Linked DNA regions of Drosophila melanogaster. The protein of the gene in region 1 interacts with the protein of each later gene in a pairwise test. Each region holds a gene or a part of one and is shown on either strand. Other genes may lie near its edges.

Region 1 (6,906 bases):
TTTCCCAAGGAGATATTTTTCATAATATTTTCTATCACATTCTTACCATCTCAACGTGAAATAAATCTCTACACCTTTTTTTAATACCCATGACTATTTTCTCTCTCTGCAGCAACAACAACTAAGTAAGTTGTCATCGCCAGCGCTGCTCAACTAATTTGCATATTTGGTCGCAGTAAAAACACTTTATAAGTGGCCACCCAGGGCAGCAGCCTGCGTGTGTTTGTGTGTAGATGTGAGTGTGTGTACATAGGCGCACTTTAAACAAAGTTAAAATGCGAGAAATTGGCCCTGCGCAAAACACCAGTAGCTCCACGGTAACAGCAGCAGCAGCAGCTTCTGGCCATTTACTGTTGCCAACAACTGTGACCTGCCCAAAAAGACGATGCCAGCGGAACTGGAACTGCCCCCTATTTCCCAGTGTGTGTGTGCGTGTGTGTGTGTGTAGAGGTCCTTAGGCAACTCGCACACAAGCACACGCGCGCAAACACCGACACAGACAGACTGGAAACTTGTTTCTTTTGGTCAACTTGTACAACATTGTTGCCGCTTTATGTTCTTCTATTTCTACAGCGTGTGCGTGAGTCCTATGGCTCCTCCTCTTTTCGTGGGCGGAGTCTCCGCGCGAGAGAGCGAACATCTCTCGGAGAAACGAAGAACGTCAGAGAGAGAGAGAGAGAGGCGCGCGCAGCTGCCTCTTTCGCAGACGCGGCTGTCTCGCTCGCTCAGCACGAGTGCTCAGTTTGTTTCAATTGCAATTATTTTGTAACATTCCAATAGGCCAATAGACCCAACCCACTGGCCAAAAAAAAGTTAAAAATTACCTAACGAAAACTCTCATTCCGACGCAGCGGGATATGCGGCACATTATGTAAAGGACTCTTTATGTAAAATGGGTTTTGTTCTTTTAAATAGATTAAAGTAGCAAATTGATATCACATTGTATATCCTTTTAAACGCTATAAAAGTTAATATACGTTATGATTTTCTGTTAAATACCTATCTTTATGGTTTGTTTCTTGTTTAACATATCATCTCATGTCTATACTTTTATGCAGCTGTAAATAAGTAATTATTATGCCTCTGTTTGTCAATTTTGTTCATGGAGATTTCAACACTTGAGACATTTGAACAGCGGCAGCTGGAAATGAAAAGCAAGTGGCGATGTGCCACAACCTAAGGTAGAAACTTTAGTTTTTCAAAAACAGGGGCCTGGGAATTTTAGATATCCCCCCAAAACCCCTCGAAAAGCAACAACTGCGCTGCCAACTGTGTCAGTTGAGTGTGTTTGTATGTGTGTGTGTGTGTGTTGGCCATGCCAACCAGCGGCGAGGTCGCAACAACAACGCTTTTGGTTGGCTATTCCATTAGCCCAAAAGCCGAGAGCCCCAAGCGCTCACGCACACAGCAAGCCGCTGAGCAGTTGAGCAGCTGAAGAGCGGCATAAAAAATAATTGTGAAACAAAGGCAACAAAGAAAATGAAAGAAACCCCAAACAACCACCAGAACAGCACCACACCACCGAAGCACCACCACCACCACCACCACCACCACTACCATGGCAATTCCCTTTGAGAACCAACCAGTGCGGAGTGCTCTCCCGCCACATTACTCATACGCCGCGTCGCCGCCTCGAGTGCACAATTTTGTATACAGTACCAAATTAGATTTGAAACTTTTTTCTTAATTGCCAACCCTCCGCCGTCGCAGCCGGCGTCGCCGTTGGCGCAGGCAGCGACGCCGACGCAGGCAGCTGCGGCGCACAAAGGTGGTTGCAACACTCTCGGAATCGGGGATATATCCCCTATATCCAGTTTGCATGTACATGCCCACGAGCGTATCCGCGCACTTTCAACCCTCGTCAGCCGCTTTTGTATTGGTAAATGTTGCCGCTTGCCGCCATTGCTGAACGTCCGACGTCGAGCGTCGTGCGCTGCGGCCTTTTGGCCAAAAGTTGAATCAGTTGCAATCGAGGGCTCACTGTGTCATGTCGTTAGCGCGCGTGGATTGAATTCGAGAACTATGCGGATATAAATAGTTAAACAATAAAACAATCAAACTACAAGCTAACAACAAACAATTAAATACTAATCAAATAAGCTAAAGTGAAGTGTGTGCTCAGAAGTTTTTGACCTAACAACTAAATCCACATCGAGGTTTCTGATCTTCACGTCGAAATGAGTCTACCGTCGGGTGTGGACATGCAGAATCTGATGTCCCAGCATCCGGTCTTGGGAGCACTGCCACCTGCTTTCTTCTTGCGAGCCGCCTCGGAACGCTACCAAAGGACGCCCAAGTGCGCCCGCTGCAGGAACCACGGAGTGGTAGGTCCCTCGGTCATATACCATCCGGCATCTGGAGATTTTCTTTACCCACTGGATCCCCTTTCCATTTCGAACCTTTTGCAGGTCAGCGCCTTGAAGGGACACAAACGCTACTGCCGCTGGCGGGATTGCGTCTGCGCCAAATGCACTCTAATCGCGGAACGCCAAAGGGTTATGGCTGCTCAGGTGGGTTTCTACTTTAATATAGAAGGAATTACGTGGAAAGAATTGGAATAAATGTTATAGAATGAAGAAGATTGCTGAATTCATCTATATAGTTCAGTTAAAGAGAACCTATGTATGCTTAAAAGCAGGTTTTTTTTTATAGTATAGCATGGAAATCAAGTACTACTTCAAAATTGCAAAACTCCTCTGTTGACTTCAGTTAAAAATCATAGTAATATTAATGCATCTCCCTGTTACACGCCACTGATCAAAGATCCGCTTTCCGCCCATGCCCTCCTTGTTGCAGGTGGCCCTTCGACGCCAACAGGCCCAAGAAGAGAACGAGGCCCGCGAGCTGGGCCTGCTCTACACTTCGGTTCCTGGCCAGCAGAATGGCAGCGACAGTGCTACGCCCACTCCGCACAGCCCCAACCACAGCGGCAGCGGCGGCTCGGGCAGCGGAGGATCGGGCCAGAACGGCGTCTTCCACGGCGGGATTCCCTCGCCACCCAGCGACGGCTTCGAGGCCAGCTCCACTCCCAATCATCACCAGCAGTCGCAGCAGCAGCAGCAGGCGCACCACCAACAGCACCTTAGCCACCCACACCAGCAGTCCCAGCGGTTCAATGGCAATGAATCCGACACGGATGGACGCACCCGTTCCGAGCACCTCAGCGTCGGTTTCTCGCCCACCAGAACCGAGCTGGATGAGAGTCCTGGTGAGTGAAGTAAAGAATACTGCACACAGCTAACACCGGGAGAATATGTGACTGTGTGACTTGGGAAATGAAGTAACATCAAATATCACAGCACATATCTTATAAATTGAGATCTATTCTAAAACCAAGAAAACAGTTTTCCTTGAAGTTCTTCAAATGTTTACTGCTTATGAAATAGCATTACTTCCATTACACTCCATTTCGAAGGACACACTGACTTATTTTGCGCAGTGCAGCCGCTTAAGAAGCCATTCACGCCTGGCCATCTCAAGAAGAGGTCTTGAGAGTCTTGGGGGAGGGCAGGTTAAAAGCGCGTTAAGAAAAATTTGTTTTCGATTGTTCAGAAATCAGCGGTGCATAAAGTGCCACACTCGCGGTTGCATGTGCATTTGGCTGCGTGTATGCAAGTGGCGAAGTGGTGCTAGTGAGCGGGGCATAGGTGTTGTTTTGACAAAGACTTAGCCAGCCAAGCTGCAGTCGTGCACTTTGCCAAGCGGCGCGTGAAAAGGTCCTGGGGTTGCAGCCAGGCCAGGACATCAAGGGGCGCAAATTGCAACAATCGAGTTAAAGTCCTCGTTAGGAGGAAAACACTTGATTTAACGTGGTGCTCATTTCAGGGAAGGTTTTAAAGGCAAATAACTTGAAATTTCCGACAAAAATGTTCCATTACATCATATAATATCAAATGGCAAACTCTGAAATGCTGGTCGTCTCAAAACACTTGTGTGCTAGAATTTTACTCTTTTTCCCACAAAAAAACCCTCTCAATAGCTGAACAATAAAAGTTATTGTAACATTATCCAACATTATTTGTTATTATCCGAAATAAGCCAATCAATTCCAACCAGATCATCTCAGATTGCCCTGCCATCGCAACTCAAACCACTGGCCCATTAAACGCCAAACAGTTGCAAGTCTGTCGAGAATTTGAAAGGACCTTCGACCCCGCCTGCTTATTAGGACTATCGGCTGTGCAGATGGGGGTTATTACCCATAAGGTAACCCCATGCCAAGGGTTCTGGCAGGCCAGAAACGTGAGATACCCCCCCTGACTCAGCTCACTTGTCTTTATTTGTTTGCCCTTTCGGAGGAAGTGGTTTTTTCCAGCTCGAGAAAGAAAAACACAGCAGGATTCTCACGCGAATCAATCGGGAAAACCTGTCTATTTAAGTACCGGACTCTATTATTTGCCATGAAATCCAAGACGATTTCACGCTTGAATTTTTATTTTCGACTAAAGAGTGCGGCATTCGAGTTGGGTATTGGTATCCACGCACCCTCGACTTAATTAAATTTTTACTGCGGCTTCGTCAACTGCAAAATTAAACAGACTCGCACAAAAATATCATATAGCTTGTTTCATTTGTGGAAAAAAACAGCAGGTTGTCCCTCGTTGGCATGTCAACATCGCATCCTGAACTCCCTGCTCCTTCCACCGCCTTTGTTTGCGATGCCCCTGATTAAATTCCTTCCCATCTCTACACTTGATACTTTTATTTGCTCTAAGCTGCCAAGTGGAAACTGTGCGGTTTTCCACTGGCTACCTGAATCGCTTCGTCGATGGAAATCGATACCTGCGATTTTGGGAAAAACAATTGCTCAATAGGAAGTACACACTCTCGTAGGAGAACTATTACAAGATACTACTCTTAATGCATTTACATATCAACTGGCGACTAATCTGTATATACCTTCATTGTATTCCTTGCTTGCAGTGTCCAAGCGCGGAGCAGCCCTGTCGAACGAGACCGACCAGGACACGGGCTCCGAGTCCGGATCGCCGAGTAGTCCCCGGCCCAAGGTCGCCGGACTGTTCAATCTGACCGCCAGCTTGTCGCCCGCCCGCACTGGACCGCCCAGCTCGCCGGAATCGGATCTGGACGTGGATTCGGCGCCGGATGAGGCCACGCCGGAGAATCTCAGTCTCAAGAAGGAGGACAGCCAGTCGCCGCCCAACACGCCCGCCGAGAATCTTCATCTGCTGCGATCCTTCAGCAGCAGTCATGCCCAGGGCTTCCTGCCATATCACCACACGCAGTTCCTGGCCGCCGCCGGCCTGCCCGCCCACCACCACCCAGCGGCACACTCGCCGCACCACCAGCAGCAGCAACAGCAGCAGCAGCAGCAGCAGAACCACCTGCCACAGCACCACCAGCAACAGCAGCAGCAGCAGCAACAGCAGCAGAGATCGCCCATCGACGTCCTGATGAGGGTGTTCCCCAACCGACGGCGCAGCGATGTGGAGCAGCTGATGCAGCGGTTCCGTGGCGACGTGCTCCAGGCCATGGAGTGCATGCTGGCTGGCGAGGATTTGGGACAGACTCCGCCGCAGGTGCCGCCATCGCCGCCCTTTCCCATGAAGTCCGCCTTCTCCCCGCTGGTGCCGCCCTCGGTTTTCGGCTCCCCCACCCATCGCTACCATCCCTTCATGCAGGCGCACGCCAAGCGATTCCTGACTGCTCCCTACGCCGGAACCGGCTACCTTCCGGGAGTGCTCAGTGCGGCGGATATCGAGCAATCCGAGTCCAACGGAGCGGGCGGCATAGGGTTGGATCGCACCAGCAATGCTGGCGACTCCCAGGATTGAGGCATCGAGGTGGAGGCCAGCGGCGCATCCGTCTTCAGGCCTTTCGAATAAGGTTCCCACCCCTGCTACACTGCGGAAAAATGTGAACACTTTACGAGTCAAGAACACAATTCTTAACTTCAATGAGTTTTAGAGCTCTCGTTTGTTTTTATAATATTTTCAGTCAGCTGAAACCATAGAAGTTTTTCATTGCAGAAAGAACTTTCTTGATTTTTGAGCAACTGTTTCTCGCAGTGCACGTCCCGCAACTAAGTGTAAATTACATTTGCCCTCGACTCTTAGCACAAGTATTGTAACATAGAGACCGTATAAGTAAATAATACGTTTAATGAATTAAAACTTAAGAAAAACCATACACTCGATCCCAGTTATAAGAAGTATTTGTTTAGCTGAAATTAACATTATGACGATGATGAGATTATTGTGTAAGCGATTGTTGATTGCAACCAACTAATTGAGATATCCGTGTGTACCATATGAATATGAGCATATATATAATTATATTAAACATCATATTATGTCTTAGATAAAGTACATTTCAAACACTGTGTTAAAGTATTTAATAAATCTACAAATAATTCAATAAAATAATGAAGAAATTAATTCGATGCTATTTTTTTGTCGGGGAATATTGGTGTTTTTTTTTCCTACATGCATAGATAGATAGATAAGATACATCTTCAGTCTGCAAATGTACTGATGAATGTGCTGAATAGCCCAATTATAGTGTAATTATTTTGATGAATGCATAATGCATTCCAATTAAATCGTTTGGGCCTACGCTAAATGCCTGACTAATCAGATCAATAAATAAGGATATTTAATACAAAACTTCCATTGTTCGGAAATCCCTTAGTCCGGGTCATAGCTGGGTAAATAAACAATTTTCACAGCACGTAATGTATATTCGTGAGAAGTCGACCGGATAACAATGGGCCGCCCACAAGCACCCCAAAGAAATTGAAATACAAATAGGAAACTACTGCGATTATAGAGGCCACCCACGATTCGAAATTCAAAATTCCCAACTGGTCATCACGCGATGGCCAAATAATAATGCGAAGCGTTAATCCGTATCATCATTATCTATTTGCCACTATTTTGAGGGCAG
Region 2 (3,183 bases), 3.9 Mb from region 1:
AAATATCGGTGATTATTGTGTCCGATGCAAGTGGCTGCGAAGATGCAGTGGTGGTCTCGCTTCAAAATGCAGCATTTACACAGTGCACAGTGCCAGGATCGTGGAGGCATCAGTTTCTGACAGATATCGCAATAATGCCACAGGTGCTCCGTTCCCGGTTTCGGAATTTGCCGCTCCTGAGGCAGACTTTTCACTGCTGAGCTTGTACGGTAGCAGGCCAGCAAGTTTCCCAGGATATTGTATGTTGTAAAAATCGCTGATATCACAAAGAACTTATACATAAAACCATCATGCACATCGGGGGCCACATAAAAGACCTGCAGCGTGAAGAAAAAAACCGTGCTCACCAGTAAAAAAATCACTGACAAAGGATGTCCTATGCTCACGGCCTTCTTAGGATAGAGATTGGCATATTCGCGGCACCAATCATTTACGATACACATGATTGTAGGATTTTGAATACAACACCGTATTTTCCACAACTTGACATTAGATGAAAATAAGTTATGATTGGCTTGTTAAAATCGATATATATTTTTCAATAATTTAGTAATACGTCTATTAATTTAGTGAGACTGCTTCATCTGCCAATGTGCACCGTCATGGGGCAAAGGACTCTTCAGCAAGGGCGATATAAAAGTCCAAAGTCCTCGTTGGCCCATTATTGTCTGGCAGTTCTTTCGGAAACCCAGATCGTAGGTGCAATCAAAAATATTATAGTAGGTAGAGTTTTGGCTTAAAATCTGCATTTGATATGCCAACATAAAGGCAGGCATATAGCTGGCGCTTATATTCAAGAGGAAGGCAATGGTCTCAAAAGTATTGCCAGTATAATTTTGGAAAAAAGTCCTAGTTATTAAATTAAAAATCACAGACGAGAGACTCATGAAGTTACCGCCATTCTGCAGGATAAACATACAAAATGTTGCAAAGCTTGTGACTAAGCCGAGCGTTAAATAAAATGTGAACCAGAAGAAAAAGCGTTGATTATTGTGTCCAATGCAAGTGCCCGTGAATATACAGTGGTGGTCCCGTCTCAAAATGCAGGTGTTGCACAAAACGCAGTGCCAGGATCGTGGCGATCTCAGCTTTTTACACGATTCGCAATAGTGCCACAGGGGCTCATCCTCTGGATTCGGGCATCGGGAGTCCTTGGACAAGGTGTTTACCGATGAGCTAGTCATATAGCAGGCCAGCATGTTACCAAGTATGTTGTGCGTTATGAAGGTGACCAATATCCAGTAGAGCTTGTAAGCAATGTCGCCAAACACTTTGGGCGCAATGTAAAACATCTGCAGTGAGAAGAAGAAAGCTGTGCTGCACAGGACGAAAACTATCGAAAGTGGATGCACTATCCTCACAAAGTTCTTCGGGTAGCGATTGGCAAAGTAATGGCAAAATCTATTCACGTAGCACATTTTTTAGGATTTTGAAAACTTCTGTTGTAAATTATAGACTAAATAGAAACATTTACATCACAGAAGAAGAAACGCCAACCCGACATATTATAATAGAATTTATTCGCTATCTTATATTCAAAGTTTTTACAAACAAAATTTACACTGTCTGCTTCTGGAACCACTGAGTGCCATCGGTAGGAAGAGGACTTGAGATCGTTGGAGAGAAAAAAATCCAGAAGCGCCGTTTTCCCAAGACCATATCAAAATTTCTTCTCCAACCAACATCATAGCTGCGATCGAGCATCTTATAGCATGTACTATTCCGATATACCATTATCATTTGAAAGACGAACATGAAGAGGGGGACGCCAAAAAGAAATAAATTCAGTTTGAAAAGGTTGGCGATTGTGTACTTCCATTTGAAATCAGCATCTTGGGTTGTATCCTGGAACATTAGCAACAAAGGATCGACGACCAAAAAGGCCTTGTTTGTCCAATTCAAAATGCCATTGTAGACGAGCGCCTGTCCGCTGCCAAAGCTCAGGTGAAACAAGAAGGCAAGGAAATACCTCTGATTTTTATGGCCAATGCAACTGGCAAAGAAGGTGCAGTGGTGATCCCGCTTCAGAATGCAAATGTTGCACAAACTACAGTGCCAGGACCTCGGTGGCACCAGCTTTTGGCATGTGGAGCAGTAGTGCCACAGGTGAGCCTCACCTGCCACAGGATACTGTCTTTCCAGAACTAAGCTATCGACTGAGGTATTGGTCATACAGCCGAGCCACCAGTTGCCCAATATATTGATGACTGTATAAATTCCCATAAACCAACACAATTTGTGCCATATACCATGGGGATCAGTTATTTGCGGCAAAACGTAGCATAATTCATAGACAAACAGCAATCCAATCAGACAGAGTAAAAATATTGCACAAAACGGATGAAGTAGGCCCATAACTTTTATGCGATGTAGTTGAAAGTGACGATGAAACCCTTCCTCGGCTCGAAAACACATTCTTCTACTCCAACCGCAAGTAGATCTTAATAAAACTCGAAATCGAAGCATTTATAAATGACAGACGTATTGTTAAATTTATCAAATAAATTATTTTTAATAGACTTTGGGCACCAGAACTGCCTTGATTTGGAAATATGTATCTAACTGACATAATCGCATCACCCACTGAATTGTAAAAATCTGGCATTGTATGTATGTGTACTTTGGTGGGTGGTTTCAAATTCAATTTCTTTTCCTTTTTAAGCGGATTATTGCGAAATTACGTTTTATAATTGCTGGCGTCATTTGTGAAGGCAGAAAATTTTTATTTAAGTGGCGCTTCTAAGTGAATTCTACAATTCAAAAGATTTGGCTTATGGAATGTTTTCACCTAAAAGTTTCTCAAATTTTTACTTCATTTTCAAAGCAGTATAGGCAAAACCTTGCTTATAAAGCAAGCTTATAAGCAGAAAATAAATTGAAATAAAAAAAACAATGGAGGGAAAAAGGGCATCAGCATGGCAAAATATGGTATTTTGCAGCAGCTGTATGTTGTATAAACAAAGAGCAGAATAAAAACAACGAGGAATGCATATCAAATACATGTAGGAAACAGCTGGGTTAAGTCGACTTCATCAGCCCAGCGACCGCAAAATGGCAGCTGTCGGCCAGGTTTAGACCGCAGGAACGAATGTTGTCTATTTCGCATAAATTTTTATGAATTATTAATATGAACTAAGCATTTTGAATGTGGCCTGGTCGGGTGGGAAAGCTGGTGAGGACGCG

Evidence for each region. The genes of interacting proteins can lie anywhere in the genome.
Region 2: the proteins of dmrt99B (region 1) and CG17195 interact in a two-hybrid assay, tested with the Drosophila melanogaster proteins (one large-scale study listed by BioGRID).

Annotation. Positions count from the first base shown.
Region 1 is NT_033777.3:29,690,630-29,697,535, forward strand, and holds dmrt99B (doublesex-Mab related 99B), read left to right. Parts: upstream 1-1,961; 5' UTR 1,962-2,177; coding exon 2,178-2,324; intron 2,325-2,408; coding exon 2,409-2,510; intron 2,511-2,796; coding exon 2,797-3,208; intron 3,209-4,923; coding exon 4,924-5,795; 3' UTR 5,796-6,396; downstream 6,397-6,906.
Region 2 is NT_033777.3:25,775,764-25,778,946, forward strand, and holds CG17195 (uncharacterized protein), read right to left. Parts: upstream 1,436-3,183; 5' UTR 1,419-1,435; coding exon 567-1,418; 3' UTR 513-566; downstream 1-512. Other genes in the region: CG17196 (uncharacterized protein), read right to left, coding at 1-443; CG4956 (uncharacterized protein), read right to left, coding at 1,558-2,466.